3 linked regions of the Macaca mulatta genome follow. The protein of the gene in region 1 interacts with the protein of each later gene in a pairwise test. Links are inferred from orthologs where the notes say so. Each region holds a gene or a part of one and is shown in the gene's direction. Other genes may lie near its edges. The genes, in order: FLAD1, TRIM23 and PRTFDC1.

The links.
Region 2: the proteins of FLAD1 (region 1) and TRIM23 interact in binary tests that used the Homo sapiens proteins (3 or more experiments, as listed by UniProt). The two-hybrid records come from large-scale screens. The link is inferred for Macaca mulatta from reciprocal best matches to the Homo sapiens genes FLAD1 and TRIM23.
Region 3: the proteins of FLAD1 (region 1) and PRTFDC1 interact in binary tests that used the Homo sapiens proteins (3 or more experiments, as listed by UniProt). The two-hybrid records come from large-scale screens. The link is inferred for Macaca mulatta from reciprocal best matches to the Homo sapiens genes FLAD1 and PRTFDC1.

What each region holds. Positions count from the first base shown.
Region 1 is NC_133406.1:112,014,496-112,024,914, reverse strand, and holds the start of FLAD1 (FAD synthase), read left to right. Parts: upstream 1-3,988; 5' UTR 3,989-4,315; intron 4,316-4,847; 5' UTR 4,848-4,991; coding exon 4,992-5,072; intron 5,073-8,019; coding exon 8,020-8,764; intron 8,765-9,468; coding exon 9,469-9,616; intron 9,617-10,067; coding exon 10,068-10,166; intron 10,167-10,247; coding exon 10,248-10,419. UniProt on the Homo sapiens protein: Catalyzes the adenylation of flavin mononucleotide (FMN) to form flavin adenine dinucleotide (FAD) coenzyme.
Region 2 is NC_133411.1:73,708,344-73,718,592, reverse strand, and holds the start of TRIM23 (E3 ubiquitin-protein ligase TRIM23), read left to right. Parts: upstream 1-4,309; 5' UTR 4,310-4,342; coding exon 4,343-4,423; intron 4,424-10,249. Other genes in the region: TRAPPC13 (trafficking protein particle complex subunit 13), read right to left, coding at 3,521-3,566.
Region 3 is NC_133414.1:26,382,743-26,393,253, reverse strand, and holds the start of PRTFDC1 (phosphoribosyltransferase domain-containing protein 1), read left to right. Parts: upstream 1-4,641; 5' UTR 4,642-4,672; coding exon 4,673-4,720; intron 4,721-5,597; exon of another isoform or gene 5,598-5,654; intron 5,655-10,511. UniProt on the Homo sapiens protein: Has low, barely detectable phosphoribosyltransferase activity (in vitro). Binds GMP, IMP and alpha-D-5-phosphoribosyl 1-pyrophosphate (PRPP). Is not expected to contribute to purine metabolism or GMP salvage.

The sequences.
Region 1 (10,419 bases):
CTTTCTGATAATATTATTATGTTGCCTTCTTGTTTCTCACTTTGATATTTAAAAGATGTTCAATACACTGTTTGAATGTGCTGGTAACTGCTTTGCTTCTTGAGTAGAGCCACCACCACCATAGTCTAGCCAGATGAGTGCTCTGTGGACCCACAGCCTCAGCTGAGTGTGACCCCAGAAGCCACGATGTGCTCTGTATCCAGAACACACTTGGCAGATGGAGGAAGCATCTGAGTTTGAGACCATGGCTGTTAACAGAGATCATGTAAACTTGCTGTTTTTGTTTTTTTCCTGCCGGGTGTTGTATGTATGGTGACTTGTGGATTTATGTTTCAGTGTACTGGAAACTTTCCATTTTATTCAAGAAATCTGTTCATGTTAAAAGCCTTGATTAAAGAGGAAGTTTTTATAATCTAATGCTGTAATTGTAAGGGTTTTTTCCCCTCACTCAGGGTGAGCATCATCAATATCATGGTTCTAATTACATGCCCTTCAGTTTGATAATGAAGCTCAGCTCTTTGCTGATAATGAGGTTTATTTTAACATTCAGATAACTCGTTTTTAATCTACTTTAAGCAGACTTGCTGTCAAACATCTACTGAAACATATTTCACTCTAACTACTGGCCCGAGGTAGAGGTTATATAGGGACAACTTCATCTCATCCAAACAAATGAACTGCTTCCTACAGTCGGGGTGCTGCCTTTAACATAGTCCCAATATTTGAATGGCACACACGGGTAAAAGGATGCTTGTGTGTCCCAATTCCTAATAGGAATAATAGGCACACCTATGACCTATTCACTGTGCCCCTCGGTTGGGGGAGGTTTTCAGCTGTTCTTAACTTTGGTTGGGCATTGGAATCACCTGGGGAGCTTTACAAGTACTGATGCCTGCTTGAGTCATTCTTAAGGATTCTTAATTGGTCTGGAGTGTGGACTGGGGGCAAAGATTTCAGGCATCTTATGCAGGTAGGTAAAGAAGGAAGCTTTGAGAAAACAGGTGCAAAATGTAGCTGTTTAAGAAAACATTCCAGGCCGGGCGTGGTGGCTCATGCCTGTAATCTCAACACTTTGGGAAGCTAAGGAGGGCAGATCACTTGAGGTCAGGAGTTTGAAACCAGCCTGGCCAACATGGTGAAACCCCATCTCTACTAAAACTACAAAATTAGCCGGGCGTGGTGGCACATGCCTGTAATCCCAGCTACTCGGGAGGCTGAGGTAGGAGAATCACTTGAACCTGGGAGGCAGAGGTTGTAGTAAGCCAAGATCACGCCATTGCGCTTCAGCCTGGGCAACAAGAGTGAAACTCTGTCTTCAAAAAAAATAAAAATAAATTAGCCGGGCGTGGTGTGTGCCTGTAATCCCTGCTACTCAGGAGACTGAGGCGAGAGGATCGCTTGAACCCGAGAGGCAGAGGTGGCAGTAAGCCAAAATCACGCCACTGCACTCAGCCTGGGCGACAGAAGCTGTCTCAATTAAAAAAAGCATTCCACAGAATAATAACTTCCCCTTTAGTCTAACAAAGTAGTAGTACTAAGTAAGGATATTAATCTCCCCCATTTTTTCTGTCTTCCATCCACTTATTCCTAAAATAGCAGGCATCAACATCGGGAAAACTCATTAGAAATGCAAATTATTGGGCTCCAACCTAGACCTAGTGAATCCTAAACCCAGGGTTGGGCACCGGGGCAATGTTTTAACACAAGCTCTCCGACTGATTCTGATGTACACTTACTTAAGCTTGAGAATCCACTGGGAAAATACTGGAACAGACTTGGTATTCTGTTTTGGGAGGGGATCAAATATCACCTGTATTACTAATAAAGATATTGGAACATGTGGTTTACTAGGCAAGTGGAATTCCTGTTTTGCCCCTTTTTTTTTTCAAAGAGCTGACTTTTTATAATTGAAAGAAATGAGGGCCAAGTACGGGGACTCACACCTGTAATCCCAACACTTTGAGAGGCCAAGGCAGGGAATCACTTGAGCCCAGGAATTCAAGACCAGCCTGTGCAACATGACCAAACCCCGTCTCTACTAAAAATACAAAAATTAGCCAGGCATGGTGGGGCGCCCCTGTGGGCCAGCTACTCTGGAGTCTGAGATGGGAGGATCTCTTGAGCCCAGGAGGTCAAGGCTGCAGTGAACGGTGCTTGTGTCACTGCACTCCAGCCTGAGCAACAGAGACTGATTCAAAAAAAAAAAGAGGGGGGGGCTTATTACTTGAAAGAATGGTATAGACGTCTGATCACCTGAATCTACCATCCACAGTGTTTTGCGGTTGTGTGGCAAACCTTCACCTTTTTGAGGCAGTTCCTCGTCTGTAAAATTAGCATGATATGTATCTCATAGGGGTTTTTTTTTTCTTTTTGATGGAGTCTCGCTGTCGCCCAGGCTGGACTGCAGTGACACAATCTCGGCTTACTGAAAGCTCCGCCTCCCAGGTTCACACCATTCTTCTGCCTCAGCCTCCCGAGTAGCTGGGACTACAGGCGCCCGCCACCGCGCGCGGCTAATTTTTTGTGTTTTTAGTAGAGACGGGGTTTCTCCATGTTGGTCAGGCTGGTCTCCAACTCCTGACCTCAGGTGATCTGCCCGCCTCGGCCTCCCAAAGTGCTGGGACAAGGTGTGGTTTAGCAGTCCTACAAAGAATGAATTTGGCCGGGCGCGGTGGCTCACGCTTGTAATTACAGCACTTTGGGCGGCCGAGGCGGGTGGATCACGAGATCAGGAGATCGAGATCATCCTGGCTATCACGCTGAAAACCCGTCTCTACTAAAAAAAAAAAAAAAAAAAAAAAAAAAATATATATATATATATATATATATATACACACACACACACAAAAAAAAAAAAAAAAAAAAAAAAATTAGCCGTGCGTGGTGGCGGGCGCCTGTAGTCCCAGCTACTCGGGAGGCTGAGGCAGGAAAATGGCATGAACCCGGGAGGCGGAGCTTGCAGTGAGCCGAGATCGCGCCACTGCACTCCAGCCTGGGTGACAGAGCGAGACTCCGCCTCAAAAATCAAAAAGAATGAATTCAGGCCCTTACCATTCAAAATGTAGTCCACAGAGCAGTGGGATCACCATCACATGGGAAATAGCTAAATGCAGATCTCAGGCCCCACCCAAACCTACTGAATCAATCTGCATATGAGAAGATCCCCAGATTATTACTGGAAAAAAGTTTAAGATGCACGTTTGGGCCAAAGGCAACTGAAATGGGGGTAAGCTCGGATGATGTGAGGATCCAGAGTAAACATGTAAGGCACTCCCTATTCGCTGCCTCGTTTGCACCTACAAGACCAGTAACTGGGAAAGGTGTCATTTGAACTAAGCACCATCTGGAGCAAGGTGGAGGAAGAGAGGGTTTTGGGACTCTTTCTTGTCAAAGAGGTTTAAGTAATTAGTTTTGTCTATTATACTAGAGATAAGTTAAGGTTCCACACACCAAAAGCTCACCTACTCCAGGGTCTTCATACCCGACAGACAATGGTGATAATCTTTCTCCGTGTCCCTCCAACTTCTGCTACAAAGTAAGATCCCTGCTCACTCCAAAAGCCCTTAGCCTAGTGTTAGAGTCACAGTGAATGAAAATAGCTTAAACCATGGCTAACTGACTCATTAAATAAAACAAAGCAACATATGCATAACAATAATTTGAATCCAGCACCAGAAACACCCCTAGGACCTTACTTCACCTCCAACCACTGCTCCTTTCGCGCCCTAAACTCCTGAGGTCCCGCGCCCTAAACTCCTGAGGTCCCGCCCCCGATCGTGGGCTAAGGTCCGGCCCCCGTATTTCCGGGCGAGGGGTGGCCAAGTGATTGTCGCCTATAACAATCAGGCCCTGCTCTCACCCACTGGCTAAAACCTGAGAGCGACAGTTGAATATACCAATGGGACCCTGGAAGAGTCTAAGCGACAGCCAAAATCACCACTCAATGTCAGCTAAGTGTGAATAAGGCGGGACTTTAAGTACGGAAGCTGCCCCGGGACATGAGGAAAGGAACAAGGGAAAGACCCGGTGAAGGGGCAGAACAGGCAGGTGAGAGCCTAGGAGCCCTCAGTAATCTGAAGCTTGGTGGGGACAAGGGATTTCAGGGCTAGAAAGGGTGCAGAAGCCTGAAGTAGAAAGAGACGGGATTTTGGTCCGGGGTGGAGAGAGCGAATGCATTGAAAAGGGCCAAGGCCCAGGATAACGTAGACATTTAAAGGGGCAGATGCCCCGAAGAGACATTCAAAAGGATACAGATGTCCAAGATAGAGCAGACACTTGAGGAGACCAGCTCAGCAAACGGAAGACACTTAAAGCGGTAGGTTCTCAAGAGAGAAGGAGTTTTTAAGACTAGAGTTAAGCTTAGAAGACATTTAAAAGGGCATGGGGGCCGGGCACGGTGGCTCAAGCCTGTAATCCCAGCACTTTGGGAGGCCGAGACGGGCGGATCACGAGGTCAGGAGATCGAGACCATCCTGGCTAACACGGTGAAACCCCGTCTCTACTAAAAATACAAAAAAAAAAAAAAAATAAGCCGGGCGAGGTGGCGGGCGCCTGTAGTCCCAGCTGCTCGGGAGGCTGAGGCAGGAGAATTGCGCGAACCCGGGAGGCGGAGCTTGCAGTGAGCGGAGATCTGGCCACTGCACTCCAGCCTGGGCGACAGAGCCAGACTCTGTCTCAAAAAAAAAAAAAAAAAAAAGGGCATGGGTTGGGATTGGGGAACACGTTTATTAAAGAGGCAGGAATAAAGGAGTCGCTTGTCAAGGATCTGGTTAGAGAAGACTAGGGTCTTCCTCTAAGGAGGAACGTGCACGCCTGCTCTCCCCCATTGTCCTTTCTGGCTTCTCCAGGTTCCCTCGACCCAGGATCCCCTGTTCCCAGGCTATGGCCCCCAGTGCCCTGTAGACCTGGCGGGCCGCCTGTGCTTGCGACCCCTATTTGGGGGTCTGGGTGGCTACTGGAGGGCCTTGCAGAGGGGCAGAGAAGGCAGGACCATGACATCTAGGGCCTCTGAACTTTCCCCGGGGCGCAGCGTGACGGCTGGCATCATCATTGTTGGAGATGAGATCCTTAAGGTGTGTCTGGGACAGAAAAGGGGGGAGGGCGCCGCGTTCTCTTGTCCTTAAGGGCCTGCTGCACATCCCTCCATGGAGGGAAATGAGACAGGGTGGGAGCCTCCTTGCTGCAGTAGGATCCTGGAGTGGATGCAGCATACTGAAGGAAAATTAACCCTCATTCTTTGAATTACTCTACTGAAAAACTTGTAGCAAAGTCCCTACAATTTTTCAACCTGAGAGCTGATTGAAGAAAAATAAAAATAAAAAGGTCATTGCAATTTACCAAGCAGTATGGTAGAGGGCAGAGGGGCTACACAACAATGACAGGAAGCCCCTTGAGTAGAGGAGGTACAGGTGTATGTATTGTATATTTAAGAGTTTTACTCAGCCTTTTTGGAAATGACTCAAGGATGACAAGGGTTTTTTTATTTTTGAGACAGGATTTTGCTCTGTCAGCTAGGCTGGAATGCAGTGGCACAGTCACAGCTCACTGAAGCCTCCATTTCCAGGCTCAAGCAGTCCTCCTGCCTCAGCCTCTGAAGTTGCTGTGACTACAGGTGTTAGCTACCACACCTGGCTAATTTATTTTTATTTTTTTGCAGAAACAGGGTCTCACTGTGTTGCCCAGGCTGGTCTCAAACTCCTGGGCTCAAGTGATCCTCCCACACCTCATCCTCCCAAAGTGCTGGGATTATAGGCATGAACCGCCGAGCTTGGCCAAATGTCAAGTTTTAATAGTAATCTTTTTTAATATTCTTTGTAAATTTGTCTTTTTTTTTTTTTTTTAAGATAGCGTCTCACTCTGTTGCCCAGGCTGGAGTGCATTGGTGGAATCTTAGCTGACTGCACCTCTACCTCTCATGTTCAAGCAGTTCTCATGCCTCAGCCACCCGAGTAGTTGGGATGACAGGCATGAGCTACTGCACTCAGCCTTAATAGACCCTTTTTTTTTTTTTTTTTTTTAATTTTTGGTAGGGATGGACAGGGTTTCACCATGGCTGGTCTTGAACTCCTGACCTCAAGTGATCCACCCACCTCAGCCTCCCAAAATGTTGGGATTACAGGCGTGAGCCACCGCACCCAGCCCTGACCCCCTATTTTTATTTTTGTATGTGTGTGTATGTGTGTGAGACAGAGTTTCGCTCCTGTTGCTGAGGCTGGAGTGCAAATGGTTGCTCACTGCAACCTCTGCCTCCTAGGTTCAAGCAGTTCTCTCACCTCAGCCTCCCAAGTAGCTGAGATTACAGGCACCTGCCACCACGCCTGTCTAATTTTTGTATTTTTAGTAGAGACGGGATTTCACCATTTTGGCCAGGGTGATGACCCTTATATTTTAAGTGCCTACTAGAGCCTGGCAGTGTGCTATACATCACATATATGTGATTTTACTAATCTTCACAACAACCCTACAAAGTTGGCACTTTTTTTCTTTTTTAAAATTTTATTTTTCTGTGTGTGTTTGTTTTATAAACGGGGTTCTCACAATGTTAAACAGCCCAGCCTCAAGCAATTCTCCCACCTCAGCCTCCCAAAGTGATGGGTTTACAGGCATAAGCCATCTTGCCCAGCCTTTTTTTTTTTTTGAGACAAAATCTCACTGTCACCCAGGCTAGAGCTAATTTTTTGTATTTTTGTGTACAGACAGGGTTTCACCATGTTGCCCAGGCTGGTCTCGAACTCCTAGGCTCAAGCAGTCCTCCCACCTCAGCCTCCCAAAATGCTGGGATTACAGGCATGAGCCACCACACCTGGTCAGCAAAAAAGCCCAATTAATGATTAAACTGAGGGTCAGAGAGGTTGAGAAACCTGCCCAGGGTTACATACCTAGGAAGTTGTAGAGATGGGATTCCAGCCTAATGCCTGATAATCTCTTACTCCAAAACACAAACCCTTTTTTTTTCTTTGGTGACAGGGTCCCTGTCACCCAGGCTGGAGTACAGTGGCACGATCTCGGCTCACTGCAGTCTCTGCCTTCCGGGCTCAAGCAGTCCACCCACTTCAGCCTCCCAAGTAGCTGGGACTACAGGCATGTGCCACCACGCCCGGCTAGTTTTTTTTATTTCTTTGTAGAGATGGGGTTTTACCATATTGTGCCAGTTGGTCTTGAACTTCTGAGCTCAAGCAAGCCACCCCGCTTAGCCTCCCAAAGGTCTGAAATTACAGGCATGAGCCATCACGCCCGGCCATCAGAACACAAACCCTTAACCACTAAACCCATTGTAGACAATTAGAGGGAGATGGGGCTGGAAAAGAAGATAGGGTGTACGCCACAGACAGCCCCAAATACTCTGCAAAGGAATTTGAACTTTATTCTGTATACATTTGGAAACAACAAATGGCTTTTAAGTCCAAGAGTGATGCAATCACAGTGACGCATTAATAAAGGTTACTGAGGAGACAGAGCAGAGCACTGTGGCTGGAGGCTGGAAGCCTGGCCAGGAAGCTGTTGCCATTGTCCAGGTGAAAGGTGCTAAGGACCTGCTTGGTGGCAGTGGGGACAGAAAGAAGAAAGCAGGCCAGGCGTGGTGGCTCCCACCTGTAATTCCAGCACTTTGGGAGGCTGAGGCAGGGGGATCACTTGAGACCAAGAATTCAACACCAGCCTGGGCAACATGGCAAGACCCCATTTCCACAAAAAAAAATTAAAATCAGCTGAGCGTGGTGGCACGCACCTGTAGTCTCAGCTACTCGGAAGGCTGAGGTGGCCCTTGAGCCCAGGAGGTTGAGGCTGCAGTGAGTTGTGATTGAGCCACTATACTCCAGCCTGGGTGACAGAGACCCAGCTTTAAAAACAAACAAATGGATTTTCCCACTCTTGTGTCCAGTCCAGGCCCCTCAGCAGCCTGAGGTGGTGTCCTTCAAAGAGCAGAGCACTGCATCATCAGGTGGATGCAGCCATCATCTCCAACCCCCTGCCCTTCATCCCTACAGTACTGACGGCCTCATCCTCCCCTTCAACCCCCAGGGACACACTCAGGACACCAACACCTTCTTTCTGTGCCGGACACTGCGCTCCCTAGGGGTCCAGGTTTGCCGAGTCTCAGTTGTACCTGATGAGGTAGCCACCATTGCAGCTGAGGTCACCTCTTTCTCCAACCGCTTCACCCATGTCCTCACAGCAGGGGGCATCGGCCCCACTCATGATGATGTGACCTTTGAGGCAGTGGCACGGGCCTTTGGGGATGAGCTGAAGCCACACCCTGAGCTGGAAGCAGCCACCAAAGCCCTAGGAGGGGAAGGCTGGGAGAAGCTGTCATTGGTGCCCTCCTCTGCCCGCCTGCATTACGGCACAGATCCTCGCACTGGTCATCCCTTCAGATTCCCACTGGTCTCCGTCCGAAATGTCTACCTCTTCCCAGGCATTCCAGAGCTGCTGCAGCGGGTGCTGGAGGGGCTGAAGGGACTGTTCCAAAACCCAGCTGTTCAGTTCCACTCAAAGGAGCTGTATGTGGCTGCTGATGAAGCCTCCATTGCCCCCATTCTGGCTGAGGCCCAGGCCCACTTTGGACGTAGGCTTGGCCTGGGTTCCTACCCTGACTGGGGCAGCAACTACTATCAGGTGAAGCTGACTCTAGACTCAGAGGAAGAAGGACCCCTGGAGGAATGCCTGGCCTACCTGACTGCCCGTTTGCCCCAGGGATCGCTGGTCCCCTACATGCCCAACGCCGTGGAGCAGGCCAGTGAGGCTGTATACAAACTCGCTGAATCAGGTAGGGACCTTATGGAGGAGGGGCAGTATGCCCAAAGCCATTGGTGCCACCCCAGATCTCAGTAATGCAGGGGCTGTTGGGTGCTTCCTGCAAATCCCAGGGAGGGCAGAAGATAGCTTCTGTTAATTCATTATTCTTCCAATAAACGTTGATTGAGTACCTACTTTCATCAGCACTGTGCTAGGTGTTGGGAATATAGCCCAAAAGAATAATGTATGCCCTGCTCTTGTGGACGAGTGTTTTAACAAGAAAGATGGACATTAAACAGGTGATCCTGCATGGGGTGATGAAGGGAGTGATCTCCCACAGCAGGGAGATCAGCCTTGATCTGGGGTCAGAGAAGGCAAAGTGACATAAACTGAGCGATAAGGAGGATTTGGTCTAGTAGGTGGGCAAGAGCCAATAGTATGAATGATGGCCTGCAAGGAAGCAGCATGGGGTTTAGGGGAATGGAAGGAAGCCCACACCCCACGCCCCCTGCTACGGAGGAATGACACTGAGGCTACCGTGAGGTGTGGCTGGGTGGCAGATGGCAGGTCAGGGGCCAACTCTGCAGGGCCTAGTGAGCAGCATGAAGGAGTTTGGACTTTATCCTCAGACAATTGGGAAGATATCGAAGGGTTTAAGCAAGGGCAGCATGCCTTCACTCCCCTTTGATAGCCATATGTGTCCATCTGATGCCCTCTTCCCTGCCTGCTTGGCAGGGTCTTCTCTGGGGGAAAAGGTGGCAGGTGCCCTACAGACCATTGAGACCGCCCTGGCTCAGTACAGCCTCACCCAGCTCTGTGTGGGCTTCAACGGGGGCAAAGACTGCACCGCCCTCCTGCACCTCTTCCATGCAGCTGTGCAGAGGTGAGCCTGCCCCCTGGGAGACAAGACCCCTGATCTGTTTCTCCAGTTCCACATCCCAGAAAGCAAGGGGAGAGGGAGTGTATAGGTGGAGTTCAAGGGGGAGATAGTCTTGGTGATCTCTCAGTTCCATTCTCCCACCATATTGAGCATATGATATGTGCCTGGCCTTGTGTATGGATGTGCAGGCCACTATCCCTGACCACAGGGAAGTCACAGTCCACTGGGGAGATGGGAGATTTACATACCTGAACCAGGGATGCGTGTTTAGATTTGAGAGGTGAAAGGTCAGAGTGGGCTTCCCAGAGGAAGTGGGTCTAATGGATGGAAAGGACAAGGAAAAGAGAGAAGGGGTGGGAGTCTGTTCCAGGGGCCAAAGAGAACAGTGAGCTGTTTCAGGAGAGCCATTTCCCTGTCCATGCTGGCAAGCCTGTGGATTCTTCCCCCTCCGCAGGAAATTACCTGATGTTCCAAACCCCCTCCAGATCCTGTATATCCGCAGCATCTCCCCTTTCCCTGAGCTGGAACAATTTCTACAGGATACTATCAAGAGGTACTAGGGGCCTGGAGGTTTGGGCTCCAAGAGAAGCTTGACAGAGCTCACTCCCGACCCCTACTTCTGTTTCTTCCTAAGGTATAATCTGCAGATGTTGGAAGCTGAGGGCAGCATGAAGCAGGCCCTGGGTGAACTGCAGGCACGGCACCCCCAGCTGGAGGCTGTCCTGATGGGCACCCGCCGGACTGACCCCTACTCCTGTAGCCTCTGCCCTTTCAGCCCCACTGACCCAGGCTGGCCTGTGTTCATG
Region 2 (10,249 bases), on another chromosome or scaffold:
CTGTAATCCCAGCTACTCGGGAGGCTAAGGCAGGAGAATCACTTGAACCCGGGAGGTGGAGGTTTGCAGTGAACTGAGATCGCACCACTGCACTCCCATTGCACTCCAGCCTGGGTGACAGGGTAAGACTCTGTCTCAAAAAAAAAATTATATGGATTCCACCAAACAAATATATAGATAGAATATTTGATGATTTCATGTCATTCTCTACAGTAAAAACTAAAACCATGCATATGGTTTAACTTTGCTAATATGGTTTAACCAGGCTAAGAACCAGTTTTGTGACACTGTCTTCTCCTCATAACCCAGGCAATTAAACAGCATGGGGACCCTAATACCATGGCTTTTGAATTCCAATTTGGAGGAGAACAAGAAGTCTAGACTCCTATTTTTTTCTCTTAGAGCACAGAAGTCCTCAAGTTGCCCCAAATTAAGTCACTGATAATAAATTCCGATATATGGTACATAGGCTTAAGAATAGAGCCTTCCAATATCTGCAAGTTAGGCTTCCTAATCAGACCCAAAGCAGTAGGAGCCATAAAACAGGCTTTTTCACATCTTAACTGCAGAAAAAAATAAGTTGAATCACTTCTCCCCCAAAATCATTAGAGAATTACTTGATGAGGGTTCTCCCACTGCTAGGATAACCATGAGTATGGACTCTTGTCATGATGTCACAATAGAATCACTGTCCGATTCTAGAGTCAGAAGAATAACTAATTTCATGATTCTTTTTACCTACTGATACTGCCCACTAACAGATCTGACAACTCTCAAATTCATAAATAATTGTGATCTTTAACATCCATAATTTTAAATACGGATCTAAATGTTATCACATATTCTTTCAAGAATAATGCACTCATGTTTTTCTTCCCTGTTCCTTACACTTTCACATTGTAAAATATGGCATCGAGTAATTCTCTTGTCTAAAGTCAATCAGTGTTATACTCAAGAGACAATTTTTTTTTTTTTTGAGACAGATTCTCACTCTGTCACCCAGGCTGGAGTGCAGAGGTACGATCTTGGCTTACAGCAACCTTCGCCTCCAGAGTTCAAGTGATTCTTGTGCCTCAGCCTCCCGAGTAGCTGGGACCACTGGTGCACACCATCACGCCTGGCATTTTTGTATTTTCAGCAGAGATGGGGTTTCATAATATTGGCTAGGCTGGTCTCGAACTCTTGAACTCAAGTGATCAGCCACCTCACCCAACCAAGAATAACAAAATATTATCTTTAACATTTTACATATTAAAAGATAAAGTGAACCTAAATGACCACTTAAATTGATACATTTGGCATCCAGCATCAGTAAATTGAAATGCTGTGAAAACTGTTGATCAACTAGAACAATGGGTTAACTAGAAGATGGTACCAAAGAGGTTTAATAAAGTTGAAACTATCAATTTTAAAGCACTTACCAGTTTAGGCTGTTTATTCTTTTTTTTTTTTTTTTGAGACAGGGTCTCACTCTGTCACCCAGGCTGGAGTGCAATGGCACAATCTCAGCTTACTGCAGCTTCTGCCTCCTAGGTTAAAGCGATTCTCCTGCCTCAGTCTCCCGAGTAGCTGGAATTACAGATGTCCACCACCATACCTGGCTAATTTTTGTATTTTTAGTATAGACGGATTTTCACCAAGTTGGCCAGGCTGGTCTCAAACTCCTGACCTCAAGTGATCTGCCAGCCTCGGCCTCCCAAAGTGCTATTACAGGCATGAGCCACCACGCCTGGCTTAGGCTGCTGAAATATTCTTTCTTAGGTATCCTTTATTTTGGAAAACAAAGAATAACAGAAAACTAAAAATTCTCAGTGGCAGTCTCTGTATCACTGGAATTTAACTTTTTGTTTGTTTGTTTTATGAGACGGAGTCTCTGGCTCTGTCACCTAGGCTAGGGTGCAGTGGCGCGATCTCGGGTCACTGTAAGCTCCACCTCCCGGGTTCACCCCATTCTCCTGCCTCAGCCTCCCTAGTAGCTGGGACTACTGGCGCCTGTCACCAAGCCACGCTAATTTTTTGTATTTTTAGTAGAGACGGGGTTTCACAGTGTTAGCCAGGATGGTCTCGATCTCCTGACCTCGTGATCACCCGCCTCGGCCTCCCAAAGTGCTGGGGTTACAGGCATGAGCCACCGCGCCCAGCTGGAATTCAACTGTTTTTAATAGCTTCTAATTTGTATAAATCACACGTAGCAGCTAATAGAACTGTTCCAAATTCCCATCAGAGTAGTTGGTAGAGGAATTATTTCTGAGAATGCCGTTTCATTCATTAGGAGGCAACATGAACTCTTGGAAAGAGAGAGGTAGGCCTTGCGTTGAAACACTGCCTCAATCACTTACTAGCTATGTGATCTTGGAAAAGTTGCTTAAACTCTAAGAATTAATATTTACTCCACATACTTGAAGTGAGATCGCGAGATAAAGAACATGACAATTAGTTGCTTTTCTTCTTTTCCCTCTTCTCCACGAGTAACAATCCATTTTAGTCTCCATTTTAGCCTAGATCATTTGCTCAGGTTAAGCTTAGAGGTCCCATCACTGTATAACTTAACATTACAAAGTTCCACAGTAAGAGACAATCTCGCTAACACAGGCATCATTATATGAGACTGATGAGCTTCTAGAATGTCTGATGACTACATCATAATGGGAAGGATGTGTTCCTCAAAATGGATGCCACAAGTAAAATAAGTGCAATTCAATTGAACCCAAATGTTTATTGAGCATTTCCTCAGCTCATTCAATAAGTCATTGTTAACCCCGTGTTAGAGCATCCAAGAAACAAAAAGTGCATTTGTTGTAGTAAAAAATAAAATAAAGCTGAAAAGATTTCAAATAAAAAGATTTCCAGAAAATAGGCATTAAAAATAAAAAAAAAAAAAAAATTGTCCTAAAAAAAAAAAAGCCTGCTGTTTTTTCCTAAATAAAGATCTAATTAAATCACCAAACTTACTCAAAATGGCTGTGTACAAAAAATGAGAGTTGACATTAGATCTCGGACATATTTCCCACATACACAGTGCTTTGAAGTAAACTGCAGTTTGTTTTTAATAAATCTAAGTTATATGTTGTATTACTATATATTGCTAAATTCTTTGCACTACTGTTATGCAATACTAATTTTACAGGGGAAACTGAAGCCTGATAACTTCGTCAGTGCCACAGGAAGAAACGAGAGACAGAAGGAAAAAGCACTTTACATGCCCGCTGTAATTCATCTTAGTTCACAGAGATCTCCACGGTAGGAGCGGGACGTCAGCTTCTGCCGCTAAAATCTCGTGACTGAAGCAGCATAGATCAGAAAGAGTGATTTACCAGGTATCTATTTCATTCTAGAAAGGAGCCCGTAAACCTAAAAAGCATCCAGGCGAAATCGCTTCCTCCCGCCTGGCGCCAAAGGACAGAGCAGGAGGGCGAGCACTGACGGTGTTTAAGAAGGCTGAGGCCTACATGGCAAAGGCTTCGATAAATAGGGAAGGGAAGAAAACAGAAAACGGGTACTCAGGTTCGCAAAAGTTTACCTTTCAGCGCCAGCAGGTGCTCCTGTTTAGGGGGATTCACTTCCATTTTGACCAGCACTTTTGACCCACGGCCTACGGGGGCTGGACAGGTTCAACTTGGCCCGGAAGGAAACGGAAAACCTCGCGTTTGGCAAGACCAGAAGTCAAACGCACTTTCAACTTCTCTCCGGTGGTGGTACCTTAAATTTTCTTACTGTGTTCTTTACAGACTGGCTTCTTCTCACCAAGTCCATTTCTTTTATCTTAGAAACGTATGCATAAAACACTTTGTTTTCCATCTGCTATCGCACATCGCGACTTCAGGAAAAGAAACCACCCCTCGGTTACAATACGCCGCCTCCCAAAGGCCAACTTTGCCGGAGTTTAAAAAAAATAAATAAATAAAAGAGAGAGTGGCATGCTGGGATTTGTAGTTTATACGAAAATCGCGTTGCATGCAGGGAGATGCCCGTATCCCTTCACCGCCCTCAGTTTACACCCTGGTTGGTTTGCGATTCGAGAGGAAAAATCATTAAAGGAGCTGGAGTTTCACCCCAAAACTTTAATTCTGTTTTATCCCTTCTTTTTTTTTTTTTCCCTTGTCTTTCCTCCAGCAGTTGCAGACTACGTAATGAAAAATAACAAAAGTGCCCATGAGCGAGGCTGTGCAACGAAGTACCCCACGACTGCAGGGAGGAGTAGTAAGAGTCGGCTAAGCGGCGCCCTGTGTCCTACTGCGCCTGTGCGCCGGTAGCGTGCGCAGAGGCCTCTGGGTAGGTGGCTTAACCCCGCCTCTCAGTTGAGGACTCTGAAGGCTGCATCTGTGGCGCTACTCCTACGAGGATGGCTACTCTGGTTGTAAACAAGCTTGGAGCGGGAGTAGACAGTGGCCGGCAGGGCAGCCGGGGGACAGCTGTAGTGAAGGTGAGGGACCTTGCGTGCTCTGTTCTCCACCATTGGCCTCCCTTCGGTTCATCCTGGAGACCTGGCTGCATCGCCACGGCCCAGGCTTCGATGGGTGGGATGCGCGGCCTCTGGGCCCCTTTTGGCTTTACAAGTCTTGTCCTCTCCTCTGCATCCTTTCTCTCCTATGGCCTGAAGTTGCCTGGTCTTCTGCTCATGACATGTCATAATCGGAACATTTATGAAAAGGAGCTTGCGGTCCAGTGACCTAGACCGGTCTTTTCTCCAGGTCCTCTGCTTTTAGTTAAACTCAACAGGCATTAGTTAGCTTAGTATTATAAATTGGCCCATCGTCATCGTAACTACGTACTACGTTAGGTGTTTTAGCTCGTTAATATCTACTTATGAAGTAGATGTTAATTCCCATTTTACAGGGAGGAAATCCAGGTTTAGGTAAACACAGTGTGTGGCAGAGCCCCGGGTTGACCGGCTTTAAAGCCTATGCTTTTCCCTATTGTACTGCGTCTGTAATGAGACATCTGTTACTGGCTGAGCTGCCCTCTCTCCTGTTAGTAGTACAGTCTATTAACACTTTTCAGAAGTCTGCAACATCGTCATAGCTGGGCGTTAACGATAGAGTTAATGAATTTCCTTATGCTTGAAGTTTGAGATTCTACCATGTATAAATGCTCCAGAATGAATTTGCTAAAAAATCATTTGAAATATGTGGCAGTCATTTTTCCCTTCCACACTTGTGCACGGAGAGATCTGGAGGGGAGAACTGATCTCATTGGTTTTATAGAGTAACCTTCGGGAGCATCTCTAATCTAAGAGATTGAAAATTCTCATTCCTGGCTACATATTAGGATCACTGAAGATTTTTAGTACACTACTGATGCACTCCTCCTCCAGTTCTGATGAGGTTGACAACAACAGTAGATTTTAGGAATGCCCATAAGTTATTTTAATATGTAACCAGGGTTAAGAATTACCGAACAGGATAATATATGAAGTTCTTTTAACGTCTTGAAAAATAGACACCTACGATTATTCAGTTAATGTTGGTTTTGTATGACAGCAAGTGAGACATTTCTTCCCACAATTTAGTATCAGTCAGTATTGGTGGTCGTTGATTCAGATGACCTTTAGGTAGTAATGAAGTTATTCTACAGGTGCACAGCATATCTGATAACGCAAAAGAGCCCTCGTTATTAGGCATGTTGTGTGATTGAGATTTTATTTATTGAATTGTGCTTTTGCTAAGTAGAGAATACTTGCAGAGTACTTTGTGAATTAACTTGAAGTTTAAGTTTTATTTCATAATTGGAAGGGGTATCATTGCAGTATCTATTTTGTTGTTACGCTGTTTGCCTTATAGTCTCAAAAGTGTACCAAAGCCTGATGTAACTCCAGTTTGTTACAGCACAGAATTTGATACATCAGAGGCTCACCTTGTTCATTTTCATCTTAACATGTAAAATGTTCCTGAACTGTGCAATAAAATAGTCCTTTCTGACAAAATCTTCATGCCATAATTTGTAGTAGCTATAGGGGTATAAACTGAAAAAAACCTTACTGTCATTTGTATAGATGAAAGCAATAAGTATTTATTGGAAGGTAAAAATTGAAGTATATAATGCTAATACTGTGTAAAATGGCCTTGTGCTTGTGAACAAGTTGATAATTACATGGTTTTTATCATTAGAGAAACCAGTAACATAAAAATCTGATATGGCTAGGCGCGGTGGCACACGTTTGTAAAGCACAAAGTGCCTGGGAAGCACTTTGGGAGGCCGAAGTGGGCTGATCACTTGAGGTCAGGAGTTTGAGACTAGCCTGGCCAGCATGGCCAAACCCTGTCTCTACTAATAATACAAAAAGTAGCCAGGCATTGTGGTGTGGGCCTGTTAATCCCAGTTACTCAGGAGGCTGATCAGGAGAATCACTTGAACCCAGGAGGGGGAGGTTGCAGTGAGCCGAGATTGTGCTACTACATTCCAGCCTGGGTGACAGAGTGAGACTCCATCTGAAAAATAAAAAATAAAAAATCTGATATTTTGAAATAACTGACATGTAAAAATGTATCACAGTTTGTTTTGCTTAGTGAGTCTTCTTAGGCCTTTTAAAATTTAGTCTGAGGCTGGGCACAGTGGCTCACACCTTTAATCTCAGCACTTTGGGAGGCTAAGGTGGGAGGATTGCTTGAGCCCTGGAGTTTGAGACCAGCCTCGGCAACATAGTGAGACCCAACCTCTACAAATAATAATTAAAAAAATTAGCCAGGCATGGTGGCACATGCCTGTGGTACCAGCTACTTGGGAGTCTGAGGCAGGAGGATTGCTTGAGCTCGGGAGGTCGAGGCTGCAGTGAACCATGCTCAGGCCACTACATTCCAGCCTGGCTGACCCTTTTTTTTTTGAGAAAGAGTGAGACCCTTTCTCAAAAAAAAGAAAAAAAAAAAAATATATATATATATATAAAATCTGATTGATTACAGTTTGATTTACATGTAATAAGTTTGAAGCTGTTTTGGCATTTTGTGAAATGTAAAATTAAGAGCTTTTTCCTATCTAGGGCTTTTTGCTGTTAACCACAATTCCTATTCATAGATACTGAGGAAATATTTTCTTGCTGGATTATTTACCAAGTTGATGCAAAATAGTCTAGTAACTTTATTTTCGGACCTGTGTTTGGTTTGCTAATCAATGGAATTTTATTAGTGCTTTTTGAAAAATACGGTAACAGCATAAGGAAATTCTTTTAAATCTTGTACAGTGGTGGGATCAGAGATACAGGATTGAAATGAACTAAACAAAATTTTAATATGGTTCTTTGGAGTTTATAAACAAATTTAATTTATTAGAGTTTTAATACAGCATTTATAAAATGTTGCATTTATTTTATATCAAATTCTATTGTGATTTTTTTTGTTTTTGAGTCGGAGTCTTGCTCTGTCGCCTAGGCTGGAGTGCAGTGGCACAATCTCGGCTCACTGCAAGCTCCACCTCCCAGGTTCATGCCATTCTCCTGCCTCAGCCTCCCAAGCAGCTGGGACTATAGGCGCCCACCACCGTGCCCGGCTAATTTTTTGTATTTTTAGTAGAGATGGGGTTTCACTGTGTTAGCCAGGATGGTCTCGATATCCTGACCTCGTGATCCACCCACCTCGGCCTCCCAAAGTGCTGGGATTACAGGCATAAGCCACCGCGCCTGGCCTGTGAATATTTTTTCTATATTTAATTGAATTTTTTTTTTTTTGAGGCAGGTTCTCATTCTGTCACCCAGGTGGGAGTGCAATGGCACAATCATGGCTCATAGCAACCTCAACCTCCTGGGCTCAAGTGATCCTCCCACCTCAGTTTTTTATTTTTTTGTAGAGACAGGGTCTCACTGTGTTGCCCAGGCTGGTCTTGAACTCCTGACCTCTAGCAGTCCTCTTGCCTTGGTGTGCCAAAGTGCTGTGATTACAGGTGTGAGCCACGGTGCCTGACCTAAATGGATTTGATAACGTGAAACTTTCCCCTTTTTAAAAAATGTAGGATGAATTGAAGTATGTGTATATATGAATAATAGATAGAATTATACATGGGTAGCTGTTCCCTAGCTGTTTCTCTTTCTCATGGGGAACCGATGTTCCAGTGTTACTGGTGTCCTATGTATCCTTCCAGGAAGACAGTACGTTTATACAACAATATAAAAATTTGCTCTTTCCCCACCTTTATGCAAAAATGAGTATATTCTATTTATCATTTTTGTTTTAATCATATGAAATCATTCTGTGTGTACATGAAAAACGTCATCTTTCTCACTATCCTATATAGTTTTATAGTATTATGAATGTGCCATAATTTATTTTCCAAGCTGATATTGATGTGTATTTACTTTGTTTCCAATTTTTTGCTAATGCAAATGATGCTTTAAGGACTAACATACAGATTTTGTCACACATGTCTAATATGCTCGTAGGATAAATTCCTGCAACTAGAATTACTGAGTTACTTAAACTTGGTAAGTATTGACAGGTTGCCCTTCATAAAAGCTGTATTGCTCAATAAACATTTCATAGCAATTAGTAATGTATGACAGTGTCTGCTTTCCCACACCTTCACTAACAAAGTGTTACCAACATTTTTGATCTAATCTGAAAAAAAAAGTATTTGATGTAGCTTTGATTTGCATTTTTTTGTTTCTTTATTTTTTTGAGACCGAGTCTCACTCTGTGATCTTGGCTCAGTGCAGCCTCCGCCTCCCAGGCTCAATCGATTATCCTGCCTCAGCCTCCTGAGTAAACTGGGATTACAGGCGCCCACCACTATGCCTGGCTAATTTTTTTGTATTTTTACTACAGAAGGAATTTCACCGTGTTGTCCAGGCTGGTCTCGAACTCCTGACCTCAGATGATCCACTTGCCTCGGCCTCCCAAAGTGTTGGAATTACAGGCATGAGCCACCGTGCCTAGCCTTAATTTGCATTTTTCTTGTTATGAGTTAGATTGAACATCTTTTCATGTAAAGAATTTTCATCGTCTTTTCTGTGAACAATTTTTTTTGTTTCTTATTTTTATTTATTTTTCTCTTCCCAAACCCTTATTTACATTGAAAGACTAAATTTAAATTTCTTTTGAACCATAATAATATACAAAGCAATTATGAATTATCACTTCATGGTGAAAGATATTTGTATCTCAAGCCCAAAGTCCAAGTTAATTACAGAGTTAGGTTTAAAATCGTAGTAGATTTAGTCTGATTTCTGCCTTGGGTTTTCTGTTTTTTACCTTGTGTTGTGTGTTTGATGATGTTGAGCTTAATTGTTTTTAAATTATTTTACTAGACTTTATGTAAGCACTAGGAACTTGGTATTTAAAATACCCTGTTCCTGAGGGTTTTTTGGTCCAACAGGGAAAGACAGACTAGAAAACCAAGGTATTAAAGCATTTTGGGTGTTATGGTAGACACTTATACAGAGTACTTGGGGGCCCAAAGGACAAGTATAGTCCTTTCCTCAGTATTAGCATGAAGAAACATGAAACAGTTTCTCATGTTCTGAGAACTATAAGCTGTTGGATATAGTTGGAGCACAGGGTCAGAAGAGTGTGGCAGTGAAGCAGTAGAACAGGGACCAGATTGTAGTGGGTCTTGAATGACAGGAGTTTGAGGTATGATTGAATAGTACAGTGGGTATTTTAAAAAAATTAATGAAACACTACAAATATACTTAGAAATAAGTGCTGAAAATGCTTTATTGCTATAAATACAATTTGTTGACTATTTATAAAACATAAACATATGGACTTGAGAATCAGAATATGCTGATAAATAGCCTTTCTTTTGACTGACTGTGTAGCCTTGTGCAAGTCATGTGTCTGTAACTAGAATTAGATAGACAAACTAATTTCTGATTCAGAGCTATATTTATTGATAGAGCACAGGAATTGAAATTTAAGGTGACTGCTTTTTTGACTTTGTATTATTTAATGTACATTAGATACCAGAAACATGAAAGTTAGTTGTAGTCTTTTCTTAACAAGTTCTTTATCATTAACAGGGGTAATTGTTAGCACGTATTTTAGATTATTTTTGTTGAAATTAATGATAGTTTATTTGTGTTGAAATTAATGATGGGTTAGGTAGTTGCAGAGAAATTGCTTAAGAACCCGCCTTCAGTAGAATTACATATTGTTTGTACAGATTCAGATGTAATGAGTGAAATCATAATTTTCAAAAGATAATGAAGATGTTAGTTTACAGCATCTTTGCCCCTAACACTACTATTAGTATTTCAAAGATATTTCGTTACGATATAATTTTGGCAGGGTCTGTCAGATGGAATGACTTAAAAGTGATTTAA
Region 3 (10,511 bases), on another chromosome or scaffold:
GTGGGAGTAGGAGAGGTTGGTTAGTAGGTACTAGGTTATAGTTAGATGAGAGGAGTAAGTTCTGGTAGAATACCGGTTATCAGAGTCAGGTGAAAAGTGGGGAGGAGTGGTGGGAGTAGGAGAGGTTGGCTAGTAGGCATTAGGTTATAGTCAGATGAGAAGAATAAGTTCCGGTACTCTACTGCAGAGGTCTCAACCTTTTTGGCACCAAGGACCGGTTTTGTGCAAGACAATTTTTCCACAGATTTTTGAGGGGGATGGTTTCAGGATGACACTGTTCCATCTCAGATCGTCCAGCATTAGTTAGGCTCTCAGAAGGGGCACACAACCTAGAGCCCTCCTGTGTGCAGTTCGCCATAGGGTTTGTGCTCCTATGAGAATCTAATGCAGCTGCTGATCTGACAGGAGGCAGAGCTCAGGTGGGAATGCTTTGCCCAACGCTCACCTCCTACTGTGCAGCCCAATTCCTAAGAGACCACAGTTTGGAACCCCGTAGTTGGGGACGCCTGCTCTATGGCACAGTAGAGTGATATATTTAACAATAATGTGTTGCGTATTTCAAATCAGCTAGAAGAGACGATTTTGAATATTCTCACCACAAAGAAATGAAAAATGCTTGAGATAATGGGTGTGCTAATTAGCCTGAGTTGACCATTATGCAATGTACACAGGTAGTGGAATATCACACTGTACCCCATAGATAATATGTACAACTATGATGTGTCAATTAAAAATAAAACTAAAAAAAACAAAAAAGAAATGTAAGTGAACACAATATAAACACTAAAAAAAAATAAAATAAAATGCAGGGGACCTACTGCTAAAAGGTAATAAAGAGAATGACAGAAAAATGCAAGTATATTGGCTGGTTATTAACTTTGCAAAGATGCGCATCTTTATTCTTATAGCTCCTTCAAAGGCATATTAGAAAATGGACAGTCTGACCAGGGCCTACTTGAGGGTGGAGGGTGGGAGAAGGGTGAGGATTAAAAAACTATGTATCAGGTACTATGCTTATTACCTGGGTGACAAAATAATCTGTACACCTAATCCCTGTGACATGCAATTTTCCCAAACAAACCTGCGTGTGTACCCCCGAACTTAAAATAAAAGTTGGAAAGGAAAAAAAAAGAAAAGGAAATGGACAGTCTGAGCTAAAATATCCCTTTTTATGGAAAATCTCATTATTTTAATAATGTTATCATTTTTCTGTATTTATTCTCATACCAGCTCTAGATTATTCCTAGACTATAACTATCCCTGATTGTTCACCTTACATCGATCTTTTATTATTATTATTATTATTATTATTATTATGTATTTGTAGGGACAGGGTCTTGCTGTGTCACCCAGGCTGGAGTGCAGTGGTGCAATTATGACTCAATGTAGCCTTAAACTTCTGGCCTCAAGCAATCTTTCCAGCTCAGCCTCCCCAGTATCTAGGTCTACAGGTGCCATGCTACCACAGCTGGCTAAGTTTTTAATTTTTTATAGTGATGTGGTCCCACTATGTTACCCAGCTTTGGTCTTGAATTCCTGGCCTCAAGTGAGCCTCCTGCTTTGGCCTCCCAAAGTGCTGGTATTGCAGGTGTAAGTCATAGTGCCTAGCCCCATCAACCTTAAAAGACAATTCCTTGTCATTTTCACATGGAATAATTTCACAAACATTTGGTCATACATTTTTACAGCATCTCAGGTTAATAATATATTACAGTTTCATAGCATTTTGCAAAGAATTCTCTTGTATGTTATCTCACGTTCATCTCATCATCATATGCAGTAGAGAATAAATGTGTTGCTCCATTTTACAGATGAGAAAATTGATGTATATTACACTGATATAATTGGCTTAGACTCATTGGCTAAAGTAACATGGATTGTTACAGAAAAAGAGGTCCTAGTCCAAAGCTATTCTACTAGATATGTGATATGGTTTGGCTCTGTGTCCCCACCCAAATCTCATGTTGAATTGTAATTACCAATGTTGGGGGAGGGACCCGGTGGGAGGCGATTGGCTCATGGGGGTGGATTTCTCCCATACTGTTCTCGTTATAGTGAGTGAGTTCTCACGAGGTCTGATGGTTTAAAAGTGTGTGGCACTACATCCTTGCTCTCTCTCTCTCTCTCCTGCTCTGCCATGGTAAGACATGCTTGCTTCCCCTTTGCCTTCTGCCATGATTGTAAATTTCCTGAGGCCTCCCAGCCTTGCTTTCTGTACAGCCTGCAGAACTGTGAGTCAATTAAACCTCTTTCTTCATAAATTATCCAGGTCTCAGGTAGTTCTTTATAGCAATATGAGAACAGATTAATACAACACATAAGAGAAATTTGAGGTTTAAAAAGAATTTTTGCCTCTAAATCCTCATAATGCAAGATTAAGAATAAAGCCTGGACAGATGAGCTGTTATTTCTGGATACCGGTCTTTGCAAATACTGTTTGGGTTATCAAGTATTATCTTGTATTATGTTAATGCTCTCCAAAGTATCAAAGTATAATCAGACTGCACAAAATATTATCAAAATATACAAAGATAATAAAGAAAATGAATTAGATTTTAAAAAACTATTTACTCATCATTCTGTGCCCTTTATAGGATGACCTGTATAAGTCTATGTAGGATGTTCTTGAGCACACATTCATAATTGTTGCCTTTCAAGCAAGTTTCATTTTTCACTGTGAACTTGTTGGATTTTACGTTTAAACTAATAGCCTTTCTAAGGGAAGATGATTTATCTACCATTTCCCTTACATGTTCCATAGTGTCTAGGCTGGAACCAAAGTTGTCGCTTTTTGACTTCTGCATGGCAACTACTCCTGTGACATATTTTGAAGTTCCTTGTACACCCTAATCTGGCCCTGTATCCACACTGAGCCTCATGGCTAAGTTTGATATCCAAGCAGTAAGATGGTCTAGTAGAATCCCCTAAAGCACAGGTCATGAGCCATCCACATCACACCCATCTGGTGTCTCTCAGCAGGTGCAGGATTCTAGGTGCTTCCACAGATCTTCCCCACCCAGTGAAGCTGCATTAAACAGCTCCCCAAGAGAGTCCTGAACTCTCAAGTTTGATCACCACCCTAATGATAGCACTTTTCAGCTCCTGGAAATTTTAATGAAGTTGCTGGTGAATATGGTTCCTGGGCCTGGTCTTTGAAAATGAAAAGGGAAGATGGTGCTTGACTTTGGGGAAAAGAAGTGAGAGGCAGACTACAAAAATGGCTCAAAACAACACCCTCTGACAATTACTAAGAGAAAATGTTTACCTGTGCGCTGGGAAACAACACCCCTCATTTTTGTAAGGCAGTTCCCAAGCAGAAGCCTGATTTCAGGATCTCTGGAGCTGCACCCTCCAAGGCAGTGGTGCTTAGAAACGACACGAAGAGCCAGCCCTGCTGAGCAGGACCAGGGCGCCAAGTCTGAATGACTAATATTTTTCCAATCTAGAACGTCATTAACCGATTGATAACTATTTTCCCTTTAAACTAGGCAAAATCAGCATTCCTCTCCCCTCTGTGTGCCAGAATCCGAAGATGAACAAAAGAGGCCTGCATCAGGAAAACTGTGTTCAGTTCTCTTGGATTCAGGCCTTCAACCTGAATTGGGTTGAGTGAATGAAGATGCTGATGAGATGTCAGGGACCTGGGGACTGAAGACACACCCAGAAAAAGCAGGACCCTGCAGGAGTGGACAAAGAACTGGAGCACAGGGATGTGAGAGGGGTTGAAATGAACAACAGACTCATACGAGAAGGATTTCTAATCAGAAGAGAGTGACTGCTTTAATAAAGCTGCAACCTGGAACAATTACAATCTGACCAGATGTTCTTGCAAAACTGGTAAAGCAGAGAATGTGAAAAAATCTCTCCCCCTCCTCCCCTGAATGCAGTTGACCAAAGGCTGAAAGGCCGGATCCTGAAAGCCCAGATCTGATCCCTGCAGATCTGGGCCACCCTAAAAGCAATCGGGTGTAATCTTTCCAGCTCCAGGCCCTGGGATGAGGAAGATGGGGGGAAGGCAGAGAAAGGCGGAGGAAGGTGGAGGGAGGTGAGAGGAGGTGGAGGGAAGTGAGGGGAAGTGGAGGGAGGTGAGGGGAGGTGGAGAGAGGTGGGTGGCGGCTCCAGGGTTTGAAAACACATCCAGGACACTTGCCCATCCTCCAAGAGCACGCCGGCTCGCAGGCTCTTTCACGCTTCTGCTTGGGACAATCGCGTGCATGAAATCTGGCAGGGAAGAGCCAAGGAGATTGTTAGCCCGAGGGCTAGGACGGTGGATCTGGGAAGCAGGGGCCTGGGGGACACGTTCTCTTCCTGCCGCGGGCTGCCTCGTGCTCCCGAGTCCCCGCGGGGCCTGGCGGCGAGGCCGGGGGCTGCAGGCGACCATCCGGCAGGCGGCGGCGGCGACAGCGGTGGCCGCGAGGGACGCGCCCGGGGCCCGCGCTCACGGGGAGCGGTCGCGGCTTGGCAGCTGCTCCCCGCGCCCCCGCGGCCTCGCCAGGGGAGGGGGCGCCGCGCCGGGGCCCTGGATCCGCGCCAGGCCGCTGCTTCCAGCCGGCGGGCCCGGGGCGGGGCGGGGCGGCCGGGTCCCCATCCCCAAGTCCCTTCCCCCACGCAACCTTCGCCCTCCCAGCTCCTTCCCGCGCCGTCTTCCCTTCCCGCGTTCCCCGGGAGAAACATGGCCGGGAGCAGCGAGGAGGCGCCAGACTACGGGCGAGGCGTCGTGGTAAATGCAAACTCCCGATTTTGGGGCTCGCCCCGCTCCCCTTCCTCCCTGGCACCCTGCTTGTAGATTAAATGCCTGCCGTGCGTCGGGAGAGAAAGCGGGCCACCGCTTTGTTCTCCCTCCTGGCGGGGATCGCTTCCATCCTCAGACCCTGGCCTCCTCTCCCCGCCCCCAATCTGAGGAAACGCCGAGTCCCGTCCCTTCACCCCGAGTTCCCAGCGTCCCCCCGCGTCCTCCGGCCGGTAGCCCGCTCCTGCAGCGTCCCGCCGGCGCCCAGCCGTCCCCATCCCAGCGAGCCACGGGGAGCAGCTTCTGGGAGCCGGCCGGGCCGAGACACCCGCGTGCTGCTCTGTAGGCCTCCTTCTTCCTGGGCCTCCTCTTCCAGAGCGGGCTTCAAGTTTTGTTTTTAAAAAGGACACTGAGGGGTTTTGAAGGCAGCCAGGAAATAAAGTAGCTCAAGTTGACAGAACTTGAGCTCTGAAGCCTTTGGTACCCAGGTTGGGGGGCTCTCTGGCAGTGGAGGCCTCTGCAGGAGCTCTGGGACACGCTCCTGCGGGACCTATGGTTTGTCTGTAAAAGGGAGCAACAGCAGGCTGGGCTCCGGAGCGAATTGGGAGGATGCATGTAAAATATCTAGCAGTGTGTCCGGATGGGAGGGTGTGGGATGCTGGTTTCCCAGAACTGAGACTCCTGTTGGTGTCAGCCAGAGGGTCAGTGTGCTAGGATCTAATCCGTTCTTGACCTTGTGGCCGCGTCCTCCCTGCTCCCTGAGAAGTGGTTTTCCTAGAAGGTGGTGGTTATAACTTGTGTCAAGTTCAATGTGAAACTCAATGGTGGTGAGGATGGTGGGTGGAGCTAACTTGCCATCTCTTTCCAGGGATCAGCTTGTCGTTCACAGATAATCTGTTTATGAATATGAATGGCCTGAACTAAAGTAAGTGGGCTGGGGAGGGAAAGGTGACACACTCAGACAGAACCGGTCAGGTTGAAATGTGGGGCTCAGTGCTTAATTTAACAGCAGGCCCTTTCCTTCTTAAAGGATGAGGTGTTGATTTATTTATTCATTCCACAAGTTGATTGTCCTGCTGGGTTGCAGAAGGTGTTGTAGGCGCTGGGGTGCAAAAGACAAAGGCCTTGTCTTCATGAGCTTGCGTTCTAGAGAAGACACAGGCAAGCAGTGTGTAAACAAATAGAGAAAATTTCCAGTAGAGATGTGCAATAGGAGGAGGGTAACAGGATAGAGGGTAATTGGAGGAGAAGCGGGGAGTGATGCTTTTGCTCAGGTGGTCAGGGCAGCCTCTCCGCGGTGACCTTTGAACTAAGATCTGAAGGGTACACAGGAGTAGCCATGTGGACTGCAGGCGGAGACCCGCATATCAAATGCAAAAGAATCATTGTATCCGATTTATGCTTTTATAAAAACCATTCCAGTTGCCCCAGGAGGAGGGGCAAGCCTAGCGGTGTGATGGATGGGAGGGAGACTAAAACGCAAAAAGGGCAATCACTAAGTTCATTGTGGACAAATTGAGTCTGCAGTGCCTGTAAGGCCCACAGATCGGGCTGCACTGTAGGCAATTTGTGAAATTCACATTTGGAATTCAGGAGAGCGATTGGAGAGATTTGGAAATCAGCAGAAAGAATAATATTTAATGTTCAGGAATGCTCAGTGAATGTGGAAAAAACAATTAAAGCAACTGTTAAGGATGGAAGCCTGGAAAGTCCCAAATGTAGGAGGCTGCCTGTGGGGGAGAAGCTGGTTGAAGGAACCGAGAAAGAACGCTGAAGGGTGGGAGGGCAGGCAGGGTGGTGGGTGCCTTGGGAACAGAGCATTGTTGAGCGGGAGGGGCGGTGTCAAGAGGTCATCAGAAGTGTCAGATGCTACAGGGACAGCAAGTTGGATACCAAGATGGAAAACAGCCACTGTATTTAACAATTACAAAGTCATTAGTAGGGAGAATCTTTTAAACAACCACTCCATTGGTAGAACAGTTAAAATATAGTACAAGTTGAGCATCCCTAATCCAAAAATCCAAAATCCAAAATGCCCCCAAATCTGACACTTTCTGTGCGCCAACATGATGCTGAAAGGAAATACTGGCTGGAGCATTTTGGATTTCGGATTTTCAGATTAGGGATGCTCAACCAGGAAGTAAATGCAAATATTCCAAAATCCAAAGAAAAAAAAAAAAACATCAGTAATTAGAAACACATCTGGTCCCAAGCATTTTGGGTGAGGCGTACTCAACTTGTACTACCATAACATACTAGATACTTTTAGAAAAGAATAAGGTGGATCTAGATGCACTGATAGAGTAGGTAAATTGTTGAAGTCTAAGAAACAAGTGAGAGAACATTGTAAATAGCCCAGTCTATTGGTGTCAACAGAGGTCCTCCTGGAAGCAAGGTAATTTTTTGAAAAATGCAAAGAGGTAGTAAGAGGGGTATAAAGAGAATAGAGGGCCAGGTGAGGTGGCTCATACCTGTAATCCCAGCACTTTGGAAGGCCAAGGTGGGTAGATCACCTGAGGTCAGGAGTTCAATAAAATCCTGACCAACATTGTGAAACCTAGCTGCTACTAAAAATACAAAATTAGCTGGGCATGGTAGTACATGCCTGTAACCACAGCTACTCGGGAGGCTGAAGCAGGAGAATTGCCTGAACCCGGGAGGTGGAGGTTGCAGCAAGCTGAGACTGTACCATTGCACTCCAGCCTGGGCAACAAGAGTGAAACTCCTTCTCAAAAAAATAAAATAAAATAAAATAAAGTAAAAATAAAAACAAAAAAATGAGTATAAACTGGACCAGCTGCCATGGGGCTTGGTGCTTGTATGAGAGCCCACCAAGGTGGGAAATAGTCCATGTATAATGGAGATAGTCCCTGCATTTACATCCTTTTCTCCAGTAGAACTTGGAATAATTAGATTAACCTCGAGTTGGATATAAGCAGGCAATTTCAGAGTCAATCGAAGCTGCTGGTAGAAGGCAACTCATGGCAGGTAAGGCAGGAGGGAAGGGAAATCTGGAGAGGATGAGTTTACTGGGAGAATAGAATACTCTCATGGATGGGATACAAAATATCAAATTAGTACCAGTTTTCAAAAGGGGCAGGTGGCTGGGAGTGGTGGCTCACACCTGTAATCCTAGCACTTTGGGAGGCCGAGGTGGGTGAATCACTTTAGCCCAGGAGTTCGAGACCAGCCTGGGCAGCCAACCCTCTCTCTACAAAAAATACAAAAATTAGCTGGGCGTGGTGGTGCATGCCTGTAGTCCCAGCTACTGTGGAGGCTGAGGTGGGAGAAGCACCTGAGCCCAGGAAATCAAGGCTGCAATGAGCCATGGTCGCGCCACTGCCTTCCAGCCTGGGCATCAGAGTGAGACCCTGTCTCAAAAAAGGGGCAGAGGGCAGGTAATAATAGCAAGCATTTCTTGAGCACAAATCTGTAAGGGAGGTCTAGCATACTCCCCATTTTACAGAGGAGGAAACTGAGGCACTGAGAGATTAAGTAAATCACCCAGGTCATATAAGTAGCAAATGGCAGTAGTAGGATTTGAACCAGCTTTCAATCACTATGCTACATAGGAAGCTGTGATTCCAGGATGGAACTTCGGGGTTGGGGCTGTCTGTAGGACTGGTGTGGCTATGTGAATATATTGCTAAATGGGGAATAAAGATGTGGTTTGAGCTAGGTATGTAGTTTGAGCTGGTGGAGGAGCTACAAGATGAAGTTGTTGGAAGGATTGTCGAGGTAGGTATTGGAGTAAATCACCCAAGGAATTGTCCAGGAATGAGGTAGAGAAGAAAATTCTGAGTTGGTAGAAATTTGTTGATAAAGACGGCAAGGGATGTAGAGTCAGATGTTATAAGCATGAAACGAGAAGTAAAGTTTGTGCAAGAGAAGGGAATATTAAGAGATTTAAGATGGCTCTTGCCTATCAATGGCTTTCAGTTGAACTGGGGAGGTGGGACATTTATACCATTAACAATAAATGGTAGCAAATGCTAATTGCCACATAAGAGAGGTAGATCCTAAGGTGAGAAATTTTGCTCGGAGTTGGCTTGCCATTTGATCTGGAGCTAATAAAGTCACCAGATTCCTGGTTGATACCTCTTTGTTACTTCTCAGGGAGAGAGAAAGATCTTCTCTATCCACCTGGCTTTTGGGGATTGGGTTATTAGACATGTTTTTGTTTGTTTGTTTGTTTGTTTGTTTTTGTCTGGTTTGGTTTTCGCCAAAGGATTATCAAGGGAGCCATCATTAGTACTTACCTAAGTGAGTTTGGTAGGAATCAGGAGAAGAGAAAAAGCTGAAATGATTGTTGTGTTTCTGTTATGGCTGGCTTCCCATCACCCCCAGTGAAAATATGGCAGTAGCAGAGATAAGTAATCAGGTATAGCTCCATCGAAAGCACAGCTCTACTAGGTGGTAATGAGTTTGCGTTCGGAAGGGCAAACCCACCACAGAAGAGGAAGGCATGTGGATACCAGGTGGTTGGCCTGTCGAACTTCCTTTGTTCCTCTGTGAGCAGAACCTGGGAATCTTTTAGCAAACCACTTGTCCCCACTTTTCAAGATGTGTGGTTTTGAGGTGAGGCCCTTCCCAGGGTACCTCCCTCCCTGGCTCTGGGGCTGGGACAGGAATCCCAGAACTCCTGTCTGGGATTCTTTGAATTACAATGAAGGGACGAGACCCCCTTTCTCTTGCTGGTGGAGGACAGATGAGAGCTATGGCCTGAAGGAGAGAGCGGGGTCAATCTGTGGAGCTCAGCAGGGGAGAAGAGTAGAGATTAGCTTCTTATATGTGTTTTCTCCCTCAGGGAGAAAAATAATGCAAAAAATAGTCTAAGCACAAAAAAAAATATTCTTAATGACTTACAAAGTTTTCAGTGCATCTTCAGTGCGAAAAAGAGAATCAGAATGAGTTCTGGGATTTGGATGTTGCATAAAATGACTCAGTTCATGGGTTTGTCACTTCCCCCAGCTTGGCTATGTTTTGCTGTTTTGAACAGAGAAAGCATTGTGCTGAATACACTTAGAGCATATTATCTGTGATACTGAAACTATCTACAGACTCTGGTTTTGATTTTTTAAAAAACACGTGAATAACAATTATCTACAGTTCATAGCAACCTCCATTCCTACAGGTTTCAATTTATTTACAACAGAATTTGCATGCACCATTGAAATTAACAAAGCATAAACCAGTATTTCCATCATCTTGAATTGACTTTCATCTCAACAATGAAAACTCACTATTTCAGATTAATTGAAAATAATGGCCAATTTGGATTATAGAACAGTTTTAGAGAAATATATTTTTTACTTTTATACTTTTTGTTTTGTTTTCTTGAGACAGTCTCACTTTGCTGCCCAGGCTGGAGTGCAGTGATGCGATCATGGTTCACTACAGCCTTGACCTCCTAGGCTCAAGCAATCCCCCTGCCTCAGCTTCCCAAGTAACTGAAACTACAGGCACATGCCATCACGCCAGACCAATTTCTTTTTCTTTTTTGTAAAGATGGGGTATATTGCCCAGGCTGGTCTCGCACTCCTGGGCAAGTGATCCTCCCACTTCAGCCTCCCAAAGTGTTGGGATTACAGGCATGAGCCAGTGTGCCAGGCCTCAAATGTATAGTTTTAACTAAGATGCTAAGACCGGTATGTAGGTTTGAGGCACTTCTTTAGATGAATTAACACATATAATTTGTTGTTAAATGTTTGATGTTTCAGTTCATCTAAATGATCAGCATTTATTGCATAAGTACTGTAGACCAGATACTGATATGAGTCTT